Macaca mulatta: one gene and its partner. The protein of the gene in region 1 interacts with the protein of each later gene in a pairwise test. Links are inferred from orthologs where the notes say so. Each region holds a gene or a part of one and is shown in the gene's direction. Other genes may lie near its edges.

Region 1 (3,810 bases):
GCAGGTGGATCACCTGAGGTCAGGAGTTTGAGACCAGCCTGACCAACATGATGGAACTCCATCTCTACTGAAAATGCAAAAATAGCCAGATGTGGTGGCGCATGCCTGTAATCGCAGCAACTTGAGAGACGGGGGCAGGAAAATCTCTTGAACCTGGAAGTCAGAGGTTGCAGTGAGCTGAGATCGTGCCATTGCACTCCAGCCTGGGCAACAAGAGCAAAACTCCATCTCAGCAACAACAACAACAAAAACCAAAGTGCTAGGATTACAGGCATGAACCATTGTGCCCAGCCCAGTATCTGGGACTTTCTTTTTAGATTTTTAAAAAATGTGTACCACACTACACAGATGCAGTATCGTGGGCTAAAAAAAACTTACATAGACAAAGGAACTATTCATTTGGACTAATAAAACTGTTACTATACATTTTTGCATATCTCAATCAGGAATCATATCTAATAATGAATAATTGTGCTGGCAAAATTAGAAGATTGCGTTCAAGGATTTTTTTTTTTTAAATAGGTGCTATATGCAATCTTTCTTCTTTTGCACCTTTACTTTGGGTTGCTGTTTGTTTAAAAAAAAGAAGTATGTTCATATTGTGCATTGACACGTTTTGTAGCTTTAAAATGTTTGTGCTTACTTTAACCACAGCAAGTGAAACCTTACGTTTTTTTTAATCCACAAATGTGATTCAAATATTAGTATATTGTTTTCTTTAGCTGCTGTAATAAATGTTGAAGTACTCTACTTAGAATCCAACACTAGAAAAGATAAATTTTGTTACAGGTGTTTCTGGTGCATTAAACAAATAAATTTTAGGTTAAAGTGATCACAAACTGAGGAAGCTGTGCCAACAGTGGTGTTGAAAGCTATTGAAAGGCTTTACAAATTTTCTGGATGTGTTGGGACTTACTGGCTGACATACTTTTGAAAATGCTTTCTTTGTTATGTTTGGTATGTGTAAGTGATAAAAAAAGCATTGTGGCAATGTGACACCATATTATCTGCCATAACTGTCCTTATATTTCAAAAAGTTTTTTTTTTTTAAATTAAATACTACATTGCACTCACTTGGTCATATTCAAAAAAATTTTAAACTACTCTAAAAGGAACCTTGAAGATTTTATTCTTGTAATTTGTTTAAATTGCTGACAGTTGTAATCAGATAAAATGGAGTTATGTTGCAGGCACATTAAAAGTGGGGTACTAATGTGCCAGCCCCCTTCCAACTTCCAGGGCTTTTTTGGAGGGAGGTGCCCACCACCTGGGGAGGCATTTTTCAGCAACACTAATCTGTCTACCCTCCTATACCAGATGTTAACTCATTCCAGCAAACTACAAAGTGGATTGATGATGTCAGAACAGAAAGAGGAAGTGATGTTATCATCATGCTAGTAGGAAATAAAACAGATCTTGCTGACAAGAGGTATGGAGTTATTTTATGTGTGTGTAATGTTTGATTTCTGTGTTATACAGCCTTTTGTTTTTGTTCACTGAAAATTTGTTGTGAAAGGAGACATGCTTAATCCTTAAGTTTGTGTCCTCCCCTGCTTTTCTTTAGCATGGGAACCTCAAATATAAATGTAAATATTAAACACCCAGTCCTTAAGGGAAAATGAATTTTATTTTGTTTAAGCTCACGTGTAAATAACTCTTGTGCAAGTTTGTTTAGACTTGAAGCCAGTAAATATTTTGCATTTTTTAGATCTCATAAGCATGAATATTGTTTTGTTAAAGAGCAAACCAGTTTGGAAAAACCTTATCTTTAAAAATTATTCATAATGATTAAATGTACACTCTTTTCTTAGTAGTCTTCTTATAAACATCCATTATAATTCAGTGGTGTGGGTTTTTGTTTTTTGATTGTTGTTTTCTAATTGTGTGGTTGAACCAGACTGTGTAGTTGCACTGAATAGCTTGATTGTGATACCTTAGTCAAATGAGCAAAGCAATATTCAAGTCACAGGATGCAAAATATATTAACATTCACTGTAGAACCCATGGCTTGAATATTTGCTTTCAGCATTCTTAAGCGATTTACTGCATACTCTTTCTGCTTTAAATAGTTTTGACCATACTACTTAATAGTAAGAGCTTTTACTGTTTATTATTTGTTTATTCATGAGATGGATATTGAAATTCGGGTAATGAACTTGTGATATTAATTCAAATGTTGCAAAGAAAGCCAGTGTTAAAAGACTTGTGGAGATGTGAAGCCCATTTCTGCCCATGGCACCTCAATTAGAATTGGTAGTACAGGCCAGGCGCAGTGGCTCACAACTGTAATCCCAGCACTTTGGGAGACCAGGGAGGGTGGATCACGAGGTCAGGAGTTCAAGACCAGCCTGGCCAAGATGGTGAAACCCTGTCTCTACTAAAAATACAAAATTAGCTAGGTGCTGTGGCAGGCACCTGTAATCCCAGCTACTCGGGAGGCTGAGGCAGGAGAATCACTTGAACCCGGGGGGCGGAGGTTGCAGTGAGCTGAAATCGTGCCACTATACTCCAGCCTGGGCAACAGAGTGAGAGACTGTCTCAAAAAAAAAAAAAAAAAAAAGTAGTACAGTTGCAAAAAAGTCTTAATTTAAAAGTAAATTCAAAGTGATTTCATCTTTTCTTTATAAAAATCTTTTTTGGACATGAATTGCTATGAAGGAAATTTTCACTATTTTATTTTTCTTCACTCTAGAGACTTCGTAGGTACCTTTTTTTTTTTTTTTTGGGGGGGGGGGAGATGGAGTCTCACTCTGTCACCCAGGCTGGAATGCAGTGGTGTGATCTCAGCTCATTGCAACCTCCGCCTCACCAGGTTCAAGCAATTCTTCTGCCTCAGCCTCCTGAGTAGCTGGGATTACAGGCACCTGCCACTGCGTCCTGCAAATTTTTGTATTTTTAGTAGAGACGAGATTTCACCATGTTGGCCAGGCTGGTCTTGAACTCCTGACCTCGTGATCCACCTGCCTCAGCCTCCCAAAGTACCCGGATTACAGGCGTGAGCCACCACGCCCTGCCGGTACCTTCATTTTACTTGTTTATTTTTGAGTTGGAGTCTTGCATTGTGACCCGGGCTGGAGTGCAATGGCGCGATCTCGGCTCACTGCAACCTCTGCCTCCCAGGTTCAAGCGATTCTCCTGCCTCAGCCTCCCAAGTAGCTGGGATTACTGGCGCCTACCACCATGCCCGGCTAGTTTTTTGTATTTTTAGTAGAGACGAGGTTTCACTCTGTTGGCCAGGTTGGTCTCGAACTCCTGACCTTGTGATCCACCCGCCTTGGCCTTCCAAAGTGCTGGGATTACGGGCGTGAGCCACCGTGCCTGGCCTCTTCATTTTTAAATAGGAAAATTGTGTATCTGAATTGTTTCCCTTTATAGCCAGAGTCATCTGAGGAGGATGCTTATAAGGATTAGTTTTTTTATTGCTTAATATTTCAGTTGAGGCCGGGCGCAGTGGCTCAAGCCTGTAATCCCAGCACTTTGGGAGGCCGAGACGGGCGGATCACGAGGTCAGGAGATCGAGACCATCCTGGCTAACCCGGTGAAACCCCGTCTCTACTAAAAATACAAAAAACTAGCCGGGCGAAGTGGCGGGTGCCTGTAGTCCCAGCTACTCGGGAGGCTGAGGCAGGAGAATGGCGTAAACCCAGGAGGCAGAGCTTGCAGTGAGCTGAGATCTGTCTGCTGCACTCCAGCCTGGGCGACAGAGCGAGACTCCGTCTCAAAAAAAAAAAAAAAAAAAAAAAAATTTCAGTTGAGTGCACAAATGGTAGAAACTTATCAAATTTTATATATATATATGTGTGTGTGTGT
Region 2 (4,483 bases), on another chromosome or scaffold:
CTGGCTAACATGATGAAACCCCATCTCTACTAAAAATACAAAATTAGCCGGGCGTGGTAGTGCATGCCTGTAATCCCAGCTACTCGGGAGGCAGAGGTTGTGGTAAGCTGAAATCGCACCATTGCACTCCAACCTGGGCAACAAGAGCGAAACTCCATCTCAGGAAGAAAAAAAAAAAATTAGCCGGGTCTGGTGGCACATCTATAGTTTCAGCTACTCGGGAGGCTGAGGCAGGAGAATCGCTTGAACCCGGGAGGCAGAGGTTGCAGTGAGCCGAGATCGCGCCACTGCACTCCAGCCTGGGTAACAGAGTGAGACCCAGTCTCAAAAATAAATAAATAAATAAATAAATAAGGCCCTGTCTCAAAAAAAAATAAAATAAAATAAAAATAAGTAAAAATACAAAAATTAGCTGGGCATGGTGGCACACGCCTGTAGTCCCAGCTACTCGGGAGGCTGAGGCATGAGAATCGCTTGAACCTGGGAGGTGGAAGTTGCAGTGAGCAGAGATCCCACCACTGCACTCCAGCCTGGGCAGAGCGAGACTCTGTCTCAAAAAAAAAAAAAAAAAAGGAAGACTCTGGGGAAGGTCTCCAAGGAGGTGGACCCTGAGATCTGGGTCTTGGGGAAGGAAATTTGGCCAAGTCCAAAGCCTGAACAAAGGCCTTCAGGAGATTTCTTTTTCTTTTCTTTTCTTTCTTTTTTTTGAGGCAGAGTTTCACTGTTGTTGCCCAGGCTGGAGTGCAATGGCGCGATCTTGGCTCACAGCAACCTCTGCTTCCCGCTCAAAGCAACCTCTGGCTTCTTTGGAATCAAGCGATTCTCCTGCCTCAGCCTCCTGAGTAGCTGGGATTACAGGCATGCACCACCACGCCCGGCTAATTTTGTATATTTAGTAGAGACAGGGTTTCTCCATGTTGGTCAGGTTGGTCTCGAACTCCCGACCTCAGGTGATCTGCCCGCCTCTACCTCCCAAACTGCTGAGATTACAGGCGTGAGCCACAGCGCCTGGCTCAGGAGATTTCCTACAGCTCAAAATTTGTAAGGCAAAGAGATGACCACAGGTCTTGTGAGAGTGGCGAGCGACCTCGGCTCTCTTAGTCCCGCCTGGCCCACCAGGCACTGCACAGTACGGTAGAGGCCCCGCCCGACCCAGCCCTTGAATCGGCCTGTTGCAATCACTATCAACCCGCCAATTCTGGCCCCTCCCCTGTCTTCCGGGTTCACTCTCTCACTTCCTGCCGGGCCCAGGCTCAGGCCCCGCCTCCGTCTTGTTTGGAGGAATCCAATCGAACCTGGAGGGCTGCGCTCCGCCCTATGCCTCGCCCGCCTCTTCCAGGAGCAATCAGAATCAACTCAGGCCCCGCCCCCGCTTCGGTCCGCCGAGACCACGCCCCTTCGGCGCAATCAGGCCGTCTGCTGGCCCCGCCCCCTAAAGCCCCGCCCTGTCGAATCTTATCCCTGCGCTGCTTCTGCGGCTGCATCTTCCAGACTCCGCCCCGCGCGCGGAGCTGCAGCCATGGCAGTCACCGCCCAGGGAGCCCGCAGGAAGGAGCGGGTCCTCTGCCTGTTTGACGTGGACGGGACCCTCACGCCGGCTCGCCAGGTAGGACCCTGAAGTTTGGAAGCTCCCGCCGGGAGTGTCACGCGGACACCCCCGAGGCTGAGTGTGGGATCTGCAGCAGAGTGACCGTGGACACGCCGGGACCGAGTGTAGCATGCGGCAGTACCCGGCCCCCTGACATCCGGGGCCACCCACCGGGAGTGAGGGGACCTGGCCCTCCACGTCACTGCCCCAGCAGCGTCCCTGCCTGTGTTCTGCTTGGGAGTGTTGGGGTAGGATCCAGTACTGGAGGGAAGAGGCTGCGATCAGGGGCCTAGCTCCCTCTGTCCCCAGATGCTTTCACATGCCCCTAGGGCCTGGCTCCCGGAGGTCCCAGCCTCCTGAGCTGGGGATCCCACCCTAGTTCAGCCCTACAACGCACCAGTGGTCAGAGCTGGCTTCTGAACCGGGGTTCCAGGCACACAAGCACGCAGCCAAGTGTCAGTCACCATCTGGTAGGAGACAGGGGGTCTCAGAGTCTTCCCACCCCGACCTTTGCAGGCCTGGGCCTGAGTCTAGTTTCTGAAGCCCTATCATCCACCTTACCTTCCACCCCCAGTCGTGGAGCAGAGAGGGCTTCTTTTCAAATTCGTTTATGGGCTCTACCCACCCGTAGGTGAGAGGCTTCAGGCCTAGTCTGTTTGCTGTGAGGACACTGAGGCATAGTGAGGGTAAGAGTGTGGTTTTCTTCTAAAGACTCACTGTGTTGAGCCTCTTACCTCTGCTCAGTTTTTCTCCCACTGGGTCTCATTGTGAGTGAGTCCCCAAAAGCCCCCTCACCAGCTGGATGCATCAGTAAGCAGGTTTCATTCGTGCCCTCCCTGTGGGTAACCCACCCTCCAGTCTGGGGGCCTCAAGGACCAACCGACAGGTCTCCTAGCGTGGGGGAACAGTGGGATGGGCTTTACTGGGCAGTGGCTGATGGGAACCCAGGTCTTAGCCTCCTCTCTTAGGTCCCAAATGCCCCTCCCCATCCTCTGTGGTGAAATTACCCTGGCTTGGGCCCTGAGGACTCAAGGAAGAATCAGCCCGCTCTGCCTTCCTGCAGGGGTGGGTCTGGGAGGAAAATGACAGGACTGGAGGAAGATGACAGGACTGGAGCGAAGGTGGGCTGGGTGCAGTGGCTCATGCCTGTAATCCCAGCACTTTGGGAGGCCGAGGTGGGTGGATCACCTGAGGTCAGGAATTCGAAACCAGCCTGGCTAACATGGTGAAACTCTGTCTCTACTAAAAATACAAAAATGAGGTTGGGTTCAGTGACTCATGCCTGTAATCCCAGCACTTTGGGAGGCCGAGGTGGACAGATCACAATGTCAGGAGTTCAAGACCAGCCTGACCAATATGGTGAAACCCCGTCTGTACTAAAAATACAAAAAATTAGCTAGGCATGGTGGCATGCACCTGTAATCCCAGCTGCTCGGGAGGCTGAGGCAGGAGAATCGCTTGAACCAGAGAGACAGAGGTTGCAGTGAACCAAGAATGTGCCATTGCACTCCAGCCTGGGCGACAGAGCGAGACTCTGTCTCCAAAAAAAAAAAAAAATAGCTGGGTGTGGTGGCATGTGCCTGCCCATAGTCCCAGCTACTCAGGAGGCAGAGGCAGGAGAATCGATTGAACCCAGGAGGTAGAGGTTGCAGTGAGCCAAGATTGTGCCATCGCACTCCAGCCTGGGCAACAAGAGTGAAACTCCATCTCAAACAAACAAATAAACAAAAGAACTGGAACAAAGGTGGCAGGGCCTAGGCGCAGTTCTGATGCCTCCCTCTGACCTTCTGTTCCACAAACATAACAACCTGAATAAGAACAGCCTATTAATTTGTCTACGGGCCAGCCTCTGTGCTTAGTGCCTTTTGAAAGTTAATTTTTAATTGTACACATATTCATGATCACACTCTCCTGGTAAAGAATGAAAACCTAACAGAGAAGGGTAAAGTCCCCTCTGACTACACCAGGATCCCAGGCCTGGCCCCCCTCCCCAAGGTAATGTGGTTACTGTGGTGTGGCTTTCCTCCAGGATCTGTTTGCCCAGAGCAAATATTAAACATTGTTTTGTGGGGCTATTTTTGTTGTTGTTGTTCTTTGGCTCCTCAAGAATCAACTTGATTGTGATGCTATTTTGTTGTTGTTGTTAGAGACAGGGTCTCGCTTTGTCAGCCAGTCTGGAGTGCAGTGGCGCCATCACAGCTCACTGCAGCCTCGAACTCCTGAGCTCAAGTGATTGTCCCGCCTCAGCTTCTGGAGTAGCTGGGACTACAGGCGAGTGCCACCATGCCTGGCTAATTTTTTTTTTTTTTTTGGAGACAAAGTCTTGTTCTTGTCCCCCAGGCTAGAATGTGATGGCGTGATCTGGGCTCACTGCAACCTCAACCTCCCGGGTTCAAGCGATTCTCCTGCCTCAGCCTCCTGAGTAGCTGGGATTACAAGCGCCTACCACCACGCCCGGCTAATTTTTTAACTTTTGTAGAGACAGGGTTTTGCCAGGTTGGCCGGGCTGATCTCGAACTCCTGACTTCAGGTGATCCACCCGCCTGGGCTTCCCAAAGTGCTGGGATTACAGGCATGAGCCACCGCGCCCGACCGAAAATTTTTAAAAATTAGCCAGGCATGGACTGGGCGCAGTGGTTCATGCCTGTAATCCCAGCACTTTGGGAGGCCCAGGTGGGTGGATCACCTGATGTCAGGAGTTCAAGACCAACCTGGCCAACATGGCAAAACCCTGTCTCCACTAAAAATTAAAAAAAAAAAAAAAATTAGCTGCGCATGGTGGCAGGCACCTGTAATCCCAGCTACTCAGGAGGCTGAGGCAGGAGAATCGCTTGAACCCGGGAGGCAGAAGTTGCAGTGAGCTGAGATTGCGCCATTGTATTCCAGCCTGGGCAG

What was found.
Region 2: the proteins of RAB6A (region 1) and PMM1 interact in binary tests that used the Homo sapiens proteins (3 or more experiments, as listed by UniProt). The two-hybrid records come from large-scale screens. The link is inferred for Macaca mulatta from reciprocal best matches to the Homo sapiens genes RAB6A and PMM1.

The regions. Positions count from the first base shown.
Region 1 is NC_133419.1:74,098,823-74,102,632, reverse strand, and holds part of RAB6A (ras-related protein Rab-6A), read left to right. Parts: intron 1-1,317; coding exon 1,318-1,429; intron 1,430-3,810. UniProt on the Homo sapiens protein: The small GTPases Rab are key regulators of intracellular membrane trafficking, from the formation of transport vesicles to their fusion with membranes.
Region 2 is NC_133415.1:9,910,637-9,915,119, forward strand, and holds the start of PMM1 (phosphomannomutase 1), read left to right. Parts: upstream 1-1,489; 5' UTR 1,490-1,519; coding exon 1,520-1,606; intron 1,607-4,483. UniProt on the Homo sapiens protein: Involved in the synthesis of the GDP-mannose and dolichol-phosphate-mannose required for a number of critical mannosyl transfer reactions. In addition, may be responsible for the degradation of glucose-1,6-bisphosphate in ischemic brain.